Ovis aries: one gene and its partners. The protein of the gene in region 3 binds, or shares a complex with, the protein of the main gene of each other region. Links are inferred from orthologs where the notes say so. Each region holds a gene or a part of one and is shown on either strand. Other genes may lie near its edges. The genes, in order: NSMCE3, SMC5 and EID3.

Region 1 (4,378 bases), on a different chromosome or scaffold from region 3:
TTAAAACTGGTATTTTTTTCACCCATTTTGAGTATGACATCTGCTATCTGGGTAAAGATGTTGATTTTCATAGTCACAGGGGTTGCTAGACCTGTGGGATTACTAGGAACTGAAGTGACTACCTGAGCAAGACAGAACACTAAAAAATAACCCAGCCCAGCTATTGACAATGGCTTTCCTCTTATTTCCCATTTCTGTCATCTTTTGGTAGATTTTTTTAAACTCGAGATACAATTGATCTTTCTGAAGGGACCTTTTGCAGGATTCTCAACTGTAGGAGGTTTCTTTGCATTTGAGTTTAAATTTTAATTTGCAAGTAAACTGAAGCAGATGGATTGTCCCATTGTGAAAGAAAAAAATGAGTGCCTTGATGATACATTTGTTTTTCTTAGCAGGCTTCTGCCATTAAGATTAATGCCTGGGGATATACTGTTAGATCTTGTGTGGAAGAGAACGTTATTACTCATAGTTTACCAGATTTTAGCATTCTTGCATCACAACACAGAATATCATTTTACATTTAGTATTGCTTTTCCAGTGCCATTATCAGATTGCATTTTCATAGTAAATTACAACAAAATTTTATGCTACCAACATTTAATGAAATTTTAATAAGGTTGTGTTTTGATGTTATTATTCAAATAATGTGTTGTGAATTGCTTTCCTTTGAATATATTTGCATTAAAGAGGAACTCAACTTGATTTGGTTCTTTGAACAGTTTACCCACTTTCTGGTAGCTTTAAGAAGACAAAGAGGGAAATTAAGTTTCGCCTTTGCAAGTCAGTAAATAGAAAAGGAACCCATTTGCTAGGATCTGTGGATGTAATGGCAGCAGATTACAGATGGTTTGAGTTAATGAAATGACTCACGTTGGTTACTAAAGCAGCACAATTAAAAATATAAAGTAGATATTTCACAGATTATGACGGATGATAACCTGGAGTTTTCGCTTTCTCATTGATCTCTAAGGCTAGAGACTCACATGTTAGCAATTCTTGGTCAGAGATGCCCCAAATTAAATGGTAGTCTCTTGAGACCGACTTCTCTGTTGGTAGCATTCTCTTAGCCATTTCTGCCAGATCTGTGGTTGTGAGCCCAAGGCCCATCTTTCCATGAGCACGTGCTTCCAATAGATAAAACTCCCCGGATCAAGCAAAAACCCTCCACTTATCGTGCTTTCTGGGGTGACTGTGCCATAGCTGTCCGGCTGAAAGAGTTGATTACACAGAATATCAAGGCTGAAAGGTGAAAAGACACGGAGAAAGAGCCCTGTATGCGAGACGAAGCTGTTTACCATTGTTTCTAAACAGACTCGGGCTTTAGAGAAAGTAACTGGTGGAAAATGGTGAGAAGGGGCTGGCGAAGGCAAACTAGTAGTCCTTGGGGTCTTTTAATTGTCTTTACGTCGTTTCGTGTGGAAAGAAATTGCTCTTACTTCCTTTCCACGCTCTTCGCCGTATTTTTCTCCCATATTCATCCTGGGAGTTTCCTTCACCTACATACAGCCCTGATTTCAGAGCTTTTGACTCTCAAGTTTCTACAGCCCTGGCCTGGGTACGATCCTGAGCCAAGCCGCACACTCGCTCAGGAGCTCTGCTTCCTGTTCGCCATCTGCAGGGTTTGGTAATAACGACGACACTTAATCATAATACAGCCCGAAAGGCTGCAAGGAATACCCGCTTCTTACCGCCGCCGTCCGCGGCCGCTGGCCAGACCGGAGCGACCTCTAGACGCGGCGCGGCCTCGATGACGCAACGCGCAGCCTCCGTGACGCAAGCGCGCAGCTTCTGTGACGCAAGCGCGCAGCTTCTGTGACACAACCGCTTCTCCTCCGGGCCCTCCCACAGCCCCACGGACTAACGGCTAACCGACCTTCAATCCCTGCCACCGCTGCCGGTTACGGGGAGTCCGCGCGGTCGGGGTCCCGCCGCCGCGACATGTCGCAAAAGCCGAAGAGCCGGGGCCGCCCCAGTTCCCAGGGCGAGCGGGAGCCGAGTGGCGGCGGCGAGGAGGCCCCGAGCACGTCTCGCGGGCCGGGCGGCGCCGCGTCGCAGCGGCGGGCCCAGGCCTCCCCCGCGCCGGGGCCGCGCTCGCAGAAGCAGCTGGAGCTGAAGGTGGCGGAGCTGGTGCAGTTCTTGTTGATCAAGGACCAGAGGAAGATCCCTATCCGCCGCACCGACATCCTGCGGCATGTGGTCGGCGACTACAAGGATGTGCTCCCAGAGCTGCTGCGGCGGGCGGCCGAGCGCCTGGAGTACGTGTTCGGGTACCGGCTGGTGGAGCTGGAGCCGCGCAGCAACACCTACATTCTGGTCAACACGCTGGAACCGGTGGAAGAGGACGCGGAGGTGCGCGGAGACCAGGGAACGCCCACCACTGGGCTGCTCATGATCGTGCTGGGGCTCATCTTCATGAAAGGCAATACCATCAAGGAGACCGAGGTCTGGGACTTCCTGCGGCGCCTCGGGGTACACCCCGACAAGAAGCACCTCATCTTCGGGGAACCCAAGAAGCTCATCACCGAGGACTTCGTGCGGCAGCGATACCTGGATTACCGGCGCATCCCGCACACGGACCCCGTGGACTACGAGCTCCAGTGGGGCCCGCGCACCAACCTGGAGACCAGCAAGATGAAGGTGCTCAAGTTTGTGGCTAAAGTCCACAACCAGGACCCCAAGGACTGGCCGGCGCAGTACTGCGAGGCTTTGGCGGACGAGGAGGCCAGGGCCAGACCCCAGCCCGCGGGCCCGAGTCCAGCCACTGCCTCTGCCCCAACCCCTGCTCCTGTCTCTTGAAATCTGAGACACACCCCAGGGCCCTCTCCCTCCCCGGGGGAAGGGCTGGAGGTGGGAGGAAGCATCTTGATTGTTTAAATGCGTGGTAGTTCCAGGAAGTGTTTGCAAACTTTAATTCTTGTAATGTTGTAAGTCGTTTTGATTCTAAAATTTCATTTAGAGGGTGACTTGTTTTGTTTTGATTTGCTTCAGTGTCTGTGTTTTTTGGTGTAAAGATCTTGTTAGCTTTATAAAGCGAATTGGAAAACTTCCTACCCGGATCTGGAACTGCCAAGGAAATATAAGCGAACTGGCCCTTGTCCGGCCTTTGAACTGCCCCACTCTGTAAAGGAAAAGTCTTCGTAAATTGAAAACGAAAGTGTAATTGCCTATATCCCCTATTACCTTAACGCAGCTATTTAAAAAATCTGTTTTCTATGCATGTAAGCATTTTGAGTCATTCTAAGCAATGTGTGTATTGTAGTTTTTCCAAATAACTTTTTACATTGATAATTACTATGCTGTGTGGCTGACCATTTTGTTCAATTTTTTTTGCTACTATAGTTATAATAAATACTGTATTTTTGAAGCAATTTAGCATTATGCATTTATTTTAACCCTAACTCATGAGAAATTTCATGACTGAAAACTAGCATCATAAGGAAAAAAGAAAACAATTTTTGTTACATATCATTGAGGTAAATAGTGTTTTGTTGAAGTTGCTTTACTTTTATATGTGTGACATACTGGATCATGATGTAAAATTATTTCTGTGGGTCATGGAAAAGTTGATAAAAGTCTTAGTGATTAACCATGCCTATTTGGGAATCAGACTAGTGGGTTCAGAGTCTGCCTCACTTACAAATTTAAGGAGATTAAGTTGTACACAGACCTTTCCTTACCTATAAAACGGGTTGATGCTGCCTGTTACTGTGTATGGTAGTGTGATAATTAGGTATGGAAGTTTATGTAAAGTTATGGGCACAAATTTGTTTAAATTGGGCTTTTTTTCCTTGGCTTAGGACTGTTAAAGTTTTTTCTTTTTAACTTTTTCTTTCATTCTCTTGTAAATCATGACTGTCCTTCTAGTCCGACTCTACTGTGTGGTTTATGGAAAAATAGCTCACGATGGAGCCCACATAAACAGAGCAGAAAGTAAGATCCAACTGGGCTTGGAAGGGGTGTCTGCAGTGTAGTGAACAGGATATGGGGTTTTGAGGTTGTCTGACATCTCAGGACAGTACAGAACCCACCTGCCAATGTGGGAGACCCTGAGTTGGGAAAATCCCCTGGAGAAGGAACTGGCAGTCCACCCTAGTATTCTTGCCTGGGAGGTTGTCTGACATCTCAGGACAGTACAGAACCCACCTGCTAATGTGGGAGGCCCTGAGTTGGGAAAATCCCCTGGAGAAGGGACTGGCAATCCACCCTAGTATTCTTGCCTGGGAAATCTGAATTCTAGCCTGGTGGGCTACAGTCAGTGAAGTATCAAAGAGTCTGACAGGGCTTATCAACTTAGCAGCAGCAGCCTGAGTGAACCTGAAAGTGAAGGTGCACATCCCTCAGTCGTGTCCGCCTCTTTGCGGCACCATGGACTATACAG
Region 2 (4,331 bases), on a different chromosome or scaffold from region 3:
TTTAATAGACGTGTCAGCATATGTATTCTTTAATGTCACATCAGAACTTGCCAAAGTGTGGTTTGTTAACGTTTAACTGCAACATGGAATCTGAAATCATTAGTGAAGGAATATACTCTTACATTACCATAAGTGCATCTTTTACCCATGAATGACCTTGTTACATTATGCTAGCTTACTGTGAAATCCCAGGCAGTTGTTCTCAGAACTGATTGTAAGTTTTATTTTGAACTTAGATGTTTTGTAGAAACTTATATATCTGATATATAAGATCAGATAAAAGCTGTTAGGGTGTTCAGTCTAGGGGAGAGGAAAGTGAGTTCCAGTTTCAAAGTTTTTCCATGCCCATTTCAGGACACAATGCAGACCTTTTTTGGTGATTATTCTATAGGAAAGAAGCATAAAAGAACAAAGATATAGGTATTAAAGACATAATAAATGACAGCTCATTGCCTTGAGTACAGTATAAATTTACCTTGATTTAATAGTGTTTCTAAACACATAAGTTGAATATTTTAAATGCTTTTTAAAAAAATTTTTTTAATAAAGCAAATTGCCTGTTAACTTTTAAAAGTCAGTAGCGTATATACCTTGGTTGCTTAAAAGAAGACATATCTGCTGAGTCTTAACTGCTTAGAATTCTTTTCTATATAAACCCTTCACTTTTATCTTCAGTCATCCACAAGTCAACCTTTTACTGTTGGACTGCTGTATTGAACTCATTGTCTGAAACTAAACTTTTTCCTGGTAATGTTGAATTTTGTAGTGAAATATCCTTTCATATCCATTGTCATCCTGGCTGTCTCATATCTACAGTTACTCTGGAATACTGCAGTGGTGACATGGTTGGTGGTCTCTCCATGACTCATCTCCTCCATTCAGGGCATACAGAATACTGTCATCAAGTTTATCATCTTTTCATGTTCCTGCCCCCTTCAAGATATCTGTGGTGGCTTCCTACCTTTGCTGTATGAAATTTAAATACTGCTTTCCTTTAGATTGTCCTTCACGTTTTTCAAAATCTTCTTGCACTCCACACATTCTAATTTCCTCCCTCTCTGCCCCGACACACTCTTCACTCACCATTCAGTCCACTCTCTACAATATCCACTGAACTTGTTTATTCTTATTTTCATTGCTTCCATCTTTGATTTTTCCCTGTAGTGGAAAGAACTTGGCCCTTGATGTCAAACACACCTTACAACTTAGTATATGTAATGTTAGGTAACTTAAGTAAACTTCTACAGCCTTAGTGTCTCCATATTGAAAAGCAAAGTATTAACTTTTAGAATTGTTGTATTGTCTTTTCATCATTATTATTTTATGTATTAGATTGCCACAGTTAAGCTCCTTAAGGGAAGGGACTGTTTTTATAAACAGTGCTTATCACTTATGGACCAGACACTATACTAAGTGTGTTGCATGATTTGCCGCCTTCTTTTAGTCTTCACCAAAGCCCTGCAGAAGTACTATTATTACTTACAGTTTATAGATGAGGAAATCAAAGCTTAGAAGAGTAGCTTGTTCAGTTATACTGCTCATTGGTGGCAAAGAGGAATTTTAAACCCAAGTTTCTGACTCTAGATCCTATGGCACTTGATACATCTCAAAAAATAGTTTTTGATCCTGAGTGATTACATGAAATGTTTAATCAGGAAGCTATCAGTTAACATCTGAATAGTATTGCTACATAGACCATAAAGCAGCAAGAAACCTGAGAATTTGGGCTCAATCCTTGTGTTTTCTCTGATTTCTACATCATTATGCTTTTCATACAGTTTAAAGCTGATGGAACAGGATACTTGCAATCTTGAAGAGGAAGAACGAAAAGCAAGTACCAAAATCAAAGAAATAAATGTTCAAAAAGCAAAACTTGTTACTGAATTAACAAACTTGATAAAGGTAAATAAGACATTTTCATTTTAGTCATGTTTTTGTTGTTGCAAGTCGATAGTAAAATCTTAGCAAGAGATTTTTATAGGTAATTTCAACTTTCTCTGTTTGACATTTCTATTTACAGATCAGTAAATTGATTAAAAGTACTCATTAAGCTAAATTGGTTTATTCAAAATGACTCAAAGGAGAACTATTTAAGATTGGAGAGAAGTATCAATCGCATTAGAAAAATGTTAAACTATATTGTTGTAAAATAAAACTCATAGAGGTTTTTATTCCTAGAATTGTACTGCTTTACACATACAAAAAGTAGATTTAATTCTTCAAAATACTACAGTGATCTCTGAGAAGAACAAATTGGAATCAGATTATATAGCAACCTCATCACAGCTACGTATCACAGAGGTAAAATTATTGCTTTTATTTTTTATTTGAGGACTTCAGTTTGAAAACTATATATACACGTGTATGTATATATCATGCCTTGCAGTGTGCAGTTTTGGGTATGCTGTTTACAGATTTCATGTACTCTGCTGATTAAGAAGTAATATTTGAAACCCTTTGTGTACATTTTTGATTATTACCACCCTCCCCCAATTAAATAACAAAGAGTACCTGATTTAGTCATTTGAAAACCAAAATCTTACCATGTTTGCTTTCTTAGCTGATACAAATTATAGTTAGTACTATTGCCAAGAAGCAACTAGTAGCTTTTATTGCAGCTTGTGTCCCCTAAACTACAGATGAGTTCTGGTCAACACTAAGAATGGCCTTAGTGATCCCGGTGATTTAATCTTCTGTTAATGATAAATATTGAAATGGGGGAGGACAGGGGGTGATGTACTAAGTTAACATAAATTCCAGAGAAGAACAAGCAACAAAATGAGGTCGTAAGAGTGACATAGTTTTTGAGTCTTTCAAATCCGTTCCCCAAAATAGAAGAGCAACTGGGATACTATGATGATGTAACAGCAAGCCCGCAGGCAATGTATACAACAGACTCAGCTTAAAGTTGTCCCTGTAGGTGTACTGCAGAATATTCTCACACTCATCACCCAGGATTAGCATGAGGCTAGGTTAAGGGCTTAGTCCTTAATAAAATTGCCCTTCAGATGCCACCTGCTCTTCTGACCAACTGGTGACTGATTCAAGGGTTCTCATGGCTCCCCCAAGTTCATTAATTTACTGGAATGGCTCACAGAACTGAAGAAAAGGCTGTTCTCAACAATTACAGTTTTATTATATAAACAATACAAATCCCTACTGGTCAAAAGGCTTATAGGGCGGGGAGGGTCCTGCACACAGTTTCTATGCTCTTTTCTGGTGAAATAATTTGTTGCTCTCCTAGCACATCAGTGTTTAGAATTTTTACCGGGTTGCATTACCTAGGCATGACTGATTGGATCATTGGCCATATGGTTGAACTCGGTCTCTAGCCCTTCTCTCTGCAGTTTAAGAGACTGGGTGGGGATAATAATAAGACTCAAAGCCCCAACCCTTTAGTCACATGATTTGTCTTTCTGGCATTGACTTCCCCCATCCTGAGTCACTCCTTAGCATAAACTCAGACCCTCTGTCACTCAGAAACTTCCTAGGATTTTAGTCTTCCTCCCAAGAACCAGGGACAAACATCAGTCAAGTTCTGTGTTTTACGACAGCCATGAACCCCAGAATACCGGTAGGTGAGATAATCAGCAGCAAGACTGGTATGGTATTAGAAAGTATGTGGTAAGAAACAGAGGGAAGGCTCAAAGAACCCAAAAACTAAGTCACCAGCAGGTTCTCATCTTTTAAGAAAAGAGGCCCCATTTGGTGTAGAAAGCTCAGCAGACCAATTTCAGAGCAGCTGAAACTGGAAGGTGACTTTTAGATTGCAGAAAGGTCAGGTGGTGCTGGGGTGATTCAGGTCCTGTGAACTAGCAACTCACGTGAAACTGCCTTGCAGAACAAAGTTGCTTACTGAGGAGAACTAGAACTACTGGGCAGGCTAAGGAGACAGCAAGCATGTGTTATGTGGTCAGAAGGCTGACACGGTAGCTAAAGGCACCACACTTAAACACAGAAGAAGGGAGACAAGTAAGTAAAACAATATATTTGCTGACTGTCCTGTAGGTACTATTAGGAAATAAAAGGATACTACCTCAGGTTAGATGCTTTGGGAGAGGGAAATGAGGGAGAATTTCAATATTGTTTATAGTAGAACTGAACTGAGTATGTCAAAGATACTCAGGCCACAAGGATATAAGATACTTGTGCATAAATAATCTTTCAAATAAAAATGGCAGGATGTTTAGCATACATACATAATCAAAATAAAGACTTCTACACCTGCTGCCTTCCCTAACCTGACAGGGGAGTCTTCCTGTCCATATTGTTAGTAGCAGCAGAAGCAGTAATATTTTTGAGTTCAGCTGATTACTCTGGAGAGTAGAAAG
Region 3 (4,220 bases):
TTTGAGTAACTTAATACTAGCCTTGCTGGCATATCGAGTGCAGTACTTTCACAGGATCATCTTTTAGGATTTGAAATAGCTCAACTGGAATTCCATCATCTCCACTAGCTTTGTTCATTGTGATGCTTTCTAAGGCCCACTTGATGCTTGTTCCTTGGGAGGAAAGTTATGACCAACCTAGACATCATATTAAAAAGCAGAGACATTACTTTGCCAACAAAGATCCATCTAGTCAAGCTATCGGTTTTCCAGTAGTCATGTATAGATGTGAGAGCTGGATAGTAAAGAAAGCTGAGCGCCAAGAATTGATGCTTTTGAACTGTGGTGTTGGAGAAGACTCTTGAGAGTCCCTTGGACTGCTAGGGGATCCAGCCAGTCCATCCTAAAGGAGATGAATCCTGAGTGTTCATTGGAAGGACTGATGCTGAAGCTGAAACTCCGATACTTTGGCCACCTGATGCTAAGAACTGACTCATTTGCAAAGACCCTGATGCTGGGAAAGATTGAAGGTGGGAGAAGGGGACAACAGAGGATGAGATGGTTGGTTGGCATCACCAACTCAATGAACATGAATTTGAGTAAACTCTCAGAGTTGGTGATGGACAGGGAGGCCTGGCAGCTGCGGTTCATGTGGTCGCAAAGAGTCCGACTCGACTGAACTGAACTGAATACTAGCCTTTGCTGCTCATGCATTTACAAGAAACTGTGCTCTCAGTCGTTTCAGCCGTGTCTGGCTCTTTGCGACCCCATGGACTGTAGCCCACCAGGCTCCTCTATGGGATTTTCCAGGCAAGAATACTGGAGTGGGTTGCCATTTCCTACTCCCAAACTGTGTGCTACGGTCAAAGAAAAATGAACCAGTAAAGATGCATTGGAGGGAAGGTAGGGCAGACACTTGCGGATGCGGGAAACCAAAACTTGAGATGCACTGAGGTGTTCTCTCCCCCTCTCCCCTCTCCCTCCCCTCTTGTGACTAATGAGCTGAGTCCTTCTCTAACTTCACGTGATTCCCCCGGGAACTAGTGGCAGTATTTTCCTACATAAGTTTGTCACGTGACTTAACAGCGTTCATGTTCATATCCTAGTAACAGATTGTGTTTAAAGTCTTCACAGGTTTCTCACCTTTTAGGGTTCAGATTTACTATTCACTCGGGGAGTGTGACCTGTATTTTTGCAACCTTCCAAATAGTCCTTTGGCGGAGACCCTGTCTACTTTATTCTTGTACTCCTGGATGCTGGAGAATCAGAGATCAGTTGCCTAACACTGGGGGACGGGGTAGGGGTGGGGTACGGCAGCGCACCTTTGCGCATGCGCCAGCCCGGACCCTTGCTCACCCACCCAGTCACCCGCTCCCCCTCCCCCATTGGAGTAGATTGGCGAGGATTTGGCTTTTGAAGGCCTTCAAAACACAATTTACATTTGTATAGTGAAGACCGAGTTCCTAGCAACCACTTTGCAAGTGAACCTTGGGAGTTCAGTCTTTCTGCAATGGAGACAGTGCAGGCCGCGATCCTTGGCTTTGTTAGCAGTTTGTAATTTAGCCAGATTTTATTTTTTAAAACAAAAAACACCACCCCCACACCCCGCCCCATCTTTTAATGACAGTATGCTGCAATATGTGACAGCCAATGTTTTAAAGTACGGTACGTTTAGTCTCCTCATAGTTTCGTCGTTAGATTTTGCAAGCGTTTCTTTAAAAGCTAGATGACACTGTCAGTAAACGCCAAAATAACGGCCGTCGCTTGAACCAACCGGTATTACTTCAGTGTGACGCCACGAGCCGGTTCTTGCCGGCGTTCTACGCGGGCGGGGGGACGCTCATTCGCTAACTGAGAGGGGCGGGGCCGCTAGGCCGCCGCTAGTGCGCATGGGTAGCGTCTTCGGCCCTGGGTGACCCCGGCAGTTTCCGCTGTTGGCCGAAACGTCGCGAAGACCGTTACCTGAGTGCCACCCGCCGCCGCCATGGCCGATGAAAATGATTCCCTGAGGGGAGCCGACGAGACAAGAGCGCAGCCGGTGGTGACCATGCCCAGTAGTGCGTACTTTCTGAAGCAGGTGGAGGAGGAGGAGGAGGAGGAGGAATCTTTGAAGGTGGAAGTGGCAGCGGCGTCTGACGACGAATCTGATACTTCCTCTGACGACGAATCTGATACCTCCTCTGACGACCTGAGCTGGGGGAAGGCCGACATCGACCCCAGCCTGCTGGAGCGGGTGGATGAAGAGAAATGCCGGAGTATCCGCAAGCAGTACCGGCAGCTCATCTATACCGTCCAGCAGAACCGTGACGACATCGTGAACACGACGAGCGACACCTTAACCGAGGCTCTCGAGGAAGCCAATGTCCTGTTTGATGCAGTGAGTCGAACAAGAGAAGCGGCTCTCGACGCTCAGTTTCTTGTTTTGGCTTCTGATTTGGGTAAAGAAAAAGCAAAGCAGCTGAACTCTGACATGAGCTTTTTTAATCAGGTGGCATTTTGTGACTTTCTGTTTATATTTGTGGGTCTAAATTGGATGGAAGATGACGGACGTGATCCGTTGAATAACTGTGACGATAACATAGCTCTTTCCTTCTGGGAGACAGTACAGAAGGAAGCGACATCGTGGATGTTACAAGCTGAAACATTCCACTTTCTTTTTGGTTCGTTCAAACCAGAGTCTGCGGCGCGAAAGCCGCGGCTTAATCACCGGAGAAAAGTTCAGAAAATGGAAGAGAATGGGGATATGCCTACAAAGCTGAGGAAGCTGGATCTGAGTGGCAATCAAGAAGCCACAGAAAAAGAAGTAGAAAGAATCTTGGGATTGTTGCAAACGTACTTTCGAAAGTATCCTGATACTCCTGTGTCTTATTTTGAGTTTGTGATTGATCCAAACTCTTTCTCTCGTACTGTGGAGAATATATTTTACGTTTCTTTCATTATAAGGGATGGTTTTGCAAGAATAAGGCTTGACCAAGACAGGCTACCAATATTGGAGCCAATTAATATTAATCTAGCCGGTGAGGGAAATGATCCCAGTTTCCACTGCAGGAAACAGGGAGTTATATCTTTGAGTTTACAAGACTGGAAAAATATTGTGGCAACTTTCGAAATTTCAGAGGCTATGATCACAAACTAAAGATTTTTGTTCTTAGTATAGGATGCAGTTTTGTTTACTTTGTAAAGCATAACATAGTGGAGAGTAAAATCCAAACAGAAGCACATACTGTATTTCTTGTGAAAAATATTTTCAAGAAAATAAGTTGTTTTACTGTGCGTTGTATTTTTCTTGGTAGTTTTATAAAGTTGTCATGGCCTTCTGTTACTTAAAAAATTCACTGGCGTATTCATGCAAAAGATTTTTTGACTGCTCCTTAAGACTTTATTAGTAAGAACTGAATTCCATAAAATAAAAGGTGTTTAATAACTTTTAAAAAATGAATTATGATGCTCTGTGATACTACATTGCTTTCTCTGCTACAGGGAACCAAGGGAATCCCATATGGGGCTCTTGATATGGGGCTCTTGACCAGGTTGGGGGAAAGAATGGGTAAAAAAAAAAAGGTCAAGAAAGACGGTAGGGCAGTGCGTAAGTCATGTTAATACCGTAAAAAATTCAGATGCTATGCTTCATTTCAAAGACGACTCATAAGATTAATGAGTGGGTGTCCTTGTTCTAAATAATTTCTACTGTGATGTGGGCTTAACAAAAGTAGACTGTCTACTGTAATAGGTGAGTCATCAACTAAGTACCGAAAGGTGAGTAGGAATTGATCAGAGATCGGGAGGGGAAATATGGAGGGTCAAATATGTGAAATTGTGAGAAGTTATGGCTCCAGAGAAATCTATGTTTTTTTTGGAAAACTATTCTATCTAAATGTTATACTAGGCAAAAATTGATTTACCATATCTGTTAGTGCCCTCTCTTTGTTAGATTATTTCAAACACAAAATCTTTTAACATCCAGTTACAATTTTTATCTGCTTGTTTTGTTTCTTCTCTGGCCCCTAGTTTCCCTTTGTAATTTCTGCTAGTACACAGAGTGTTCCTCAGAATTGGTGATGTTTCATTATGTACTGGCCTTGAATATTTGTTCCCAACTCAATTTTGATTTCTTAATAGGACTTTGAATGCCTGGAAACTCTCCCTGTGTAAATTGAAATACCAGTATATGATTAGTTTATCCAAATTTCCTTCATTTCCTATAAAGCTCTAAAGGCTGCTGTTGTTGTTTTAAGAATATA

What was found.
Region 1: EID3 (region 3) and NSMCE3 share a complex: the UniProt entries of both Homo sapiens proteins name them as parts of the SMC5-SMC6 complex. The link is inferred for Ovis aries from reciprocal best matches to the Homo sapiens genes EID3 and NSMCE3.
Region 2: EID3 (region 3) and SMC5 share a complex: the UniProt entries of both Homo sapiens proteins name them as parts of the SMC5-SMC6 complex. The link is inferred for Ovis aries from reciprocal best matches to the Homo sapiens genes EID3 and SMC5.

The regions. Positions count from the first base shown.
Region 1 is NC_056071.1:25,979,103-25,983,480, reverse strand, and holds NSMCE3 (non-structural maintenance of chromosomes element 3 homolog), read left to right. Parts: upstream 1-1,814; 5' UTR 1,815-1,938; coding exon 1,939-2,796; 3' UTR 2,797-3,368; downstream 3,369-4,378. UniProt on the Homo sapiens protein: Component of the SMC5-SMC6 complex, a complex involved in repair of DNA double-strand breaks by homologous recombination. The complex may promote sister chromatid homologous recombination by recruiting the SMC1-SMC3 cohesin complex to double-strand breaks.
Region 2 is NC_056055.1:66,334,334-66,338,664, reverse strand, and holds part of SMC5 (structural maintenance of chromosomes protein 5), read left to right. Parts: intron 1-1,778; coding exon 1,779-1,902; intron 1,903-2,178; coding exon 2,179-2,301; intron 2,302-4,331. UniProt on the Homo sapiens protein: Core component of the SMC5-SMC6 complex, a complex involved in repair of DNA double-strand breaks by homologous recombination.
Region 3 is NC_056056.1:173,526,308-173,530,527, forward strand, and holds EID3 (EP300-interacting inhibitor of differentiation 3), read left to right. Parts: upstream 1-1,919; 5' UTR 1,920-1,963; coding exon 1,964-3,115; 3' UTR 3,116-3,414; downstream 3,415-4,220. UniProt on the Homo sapiens protein: Tissue-specific component of the SMC5-SMC6 complex, a complex involved in repair of DNA double-strand breaks by homologous recombination.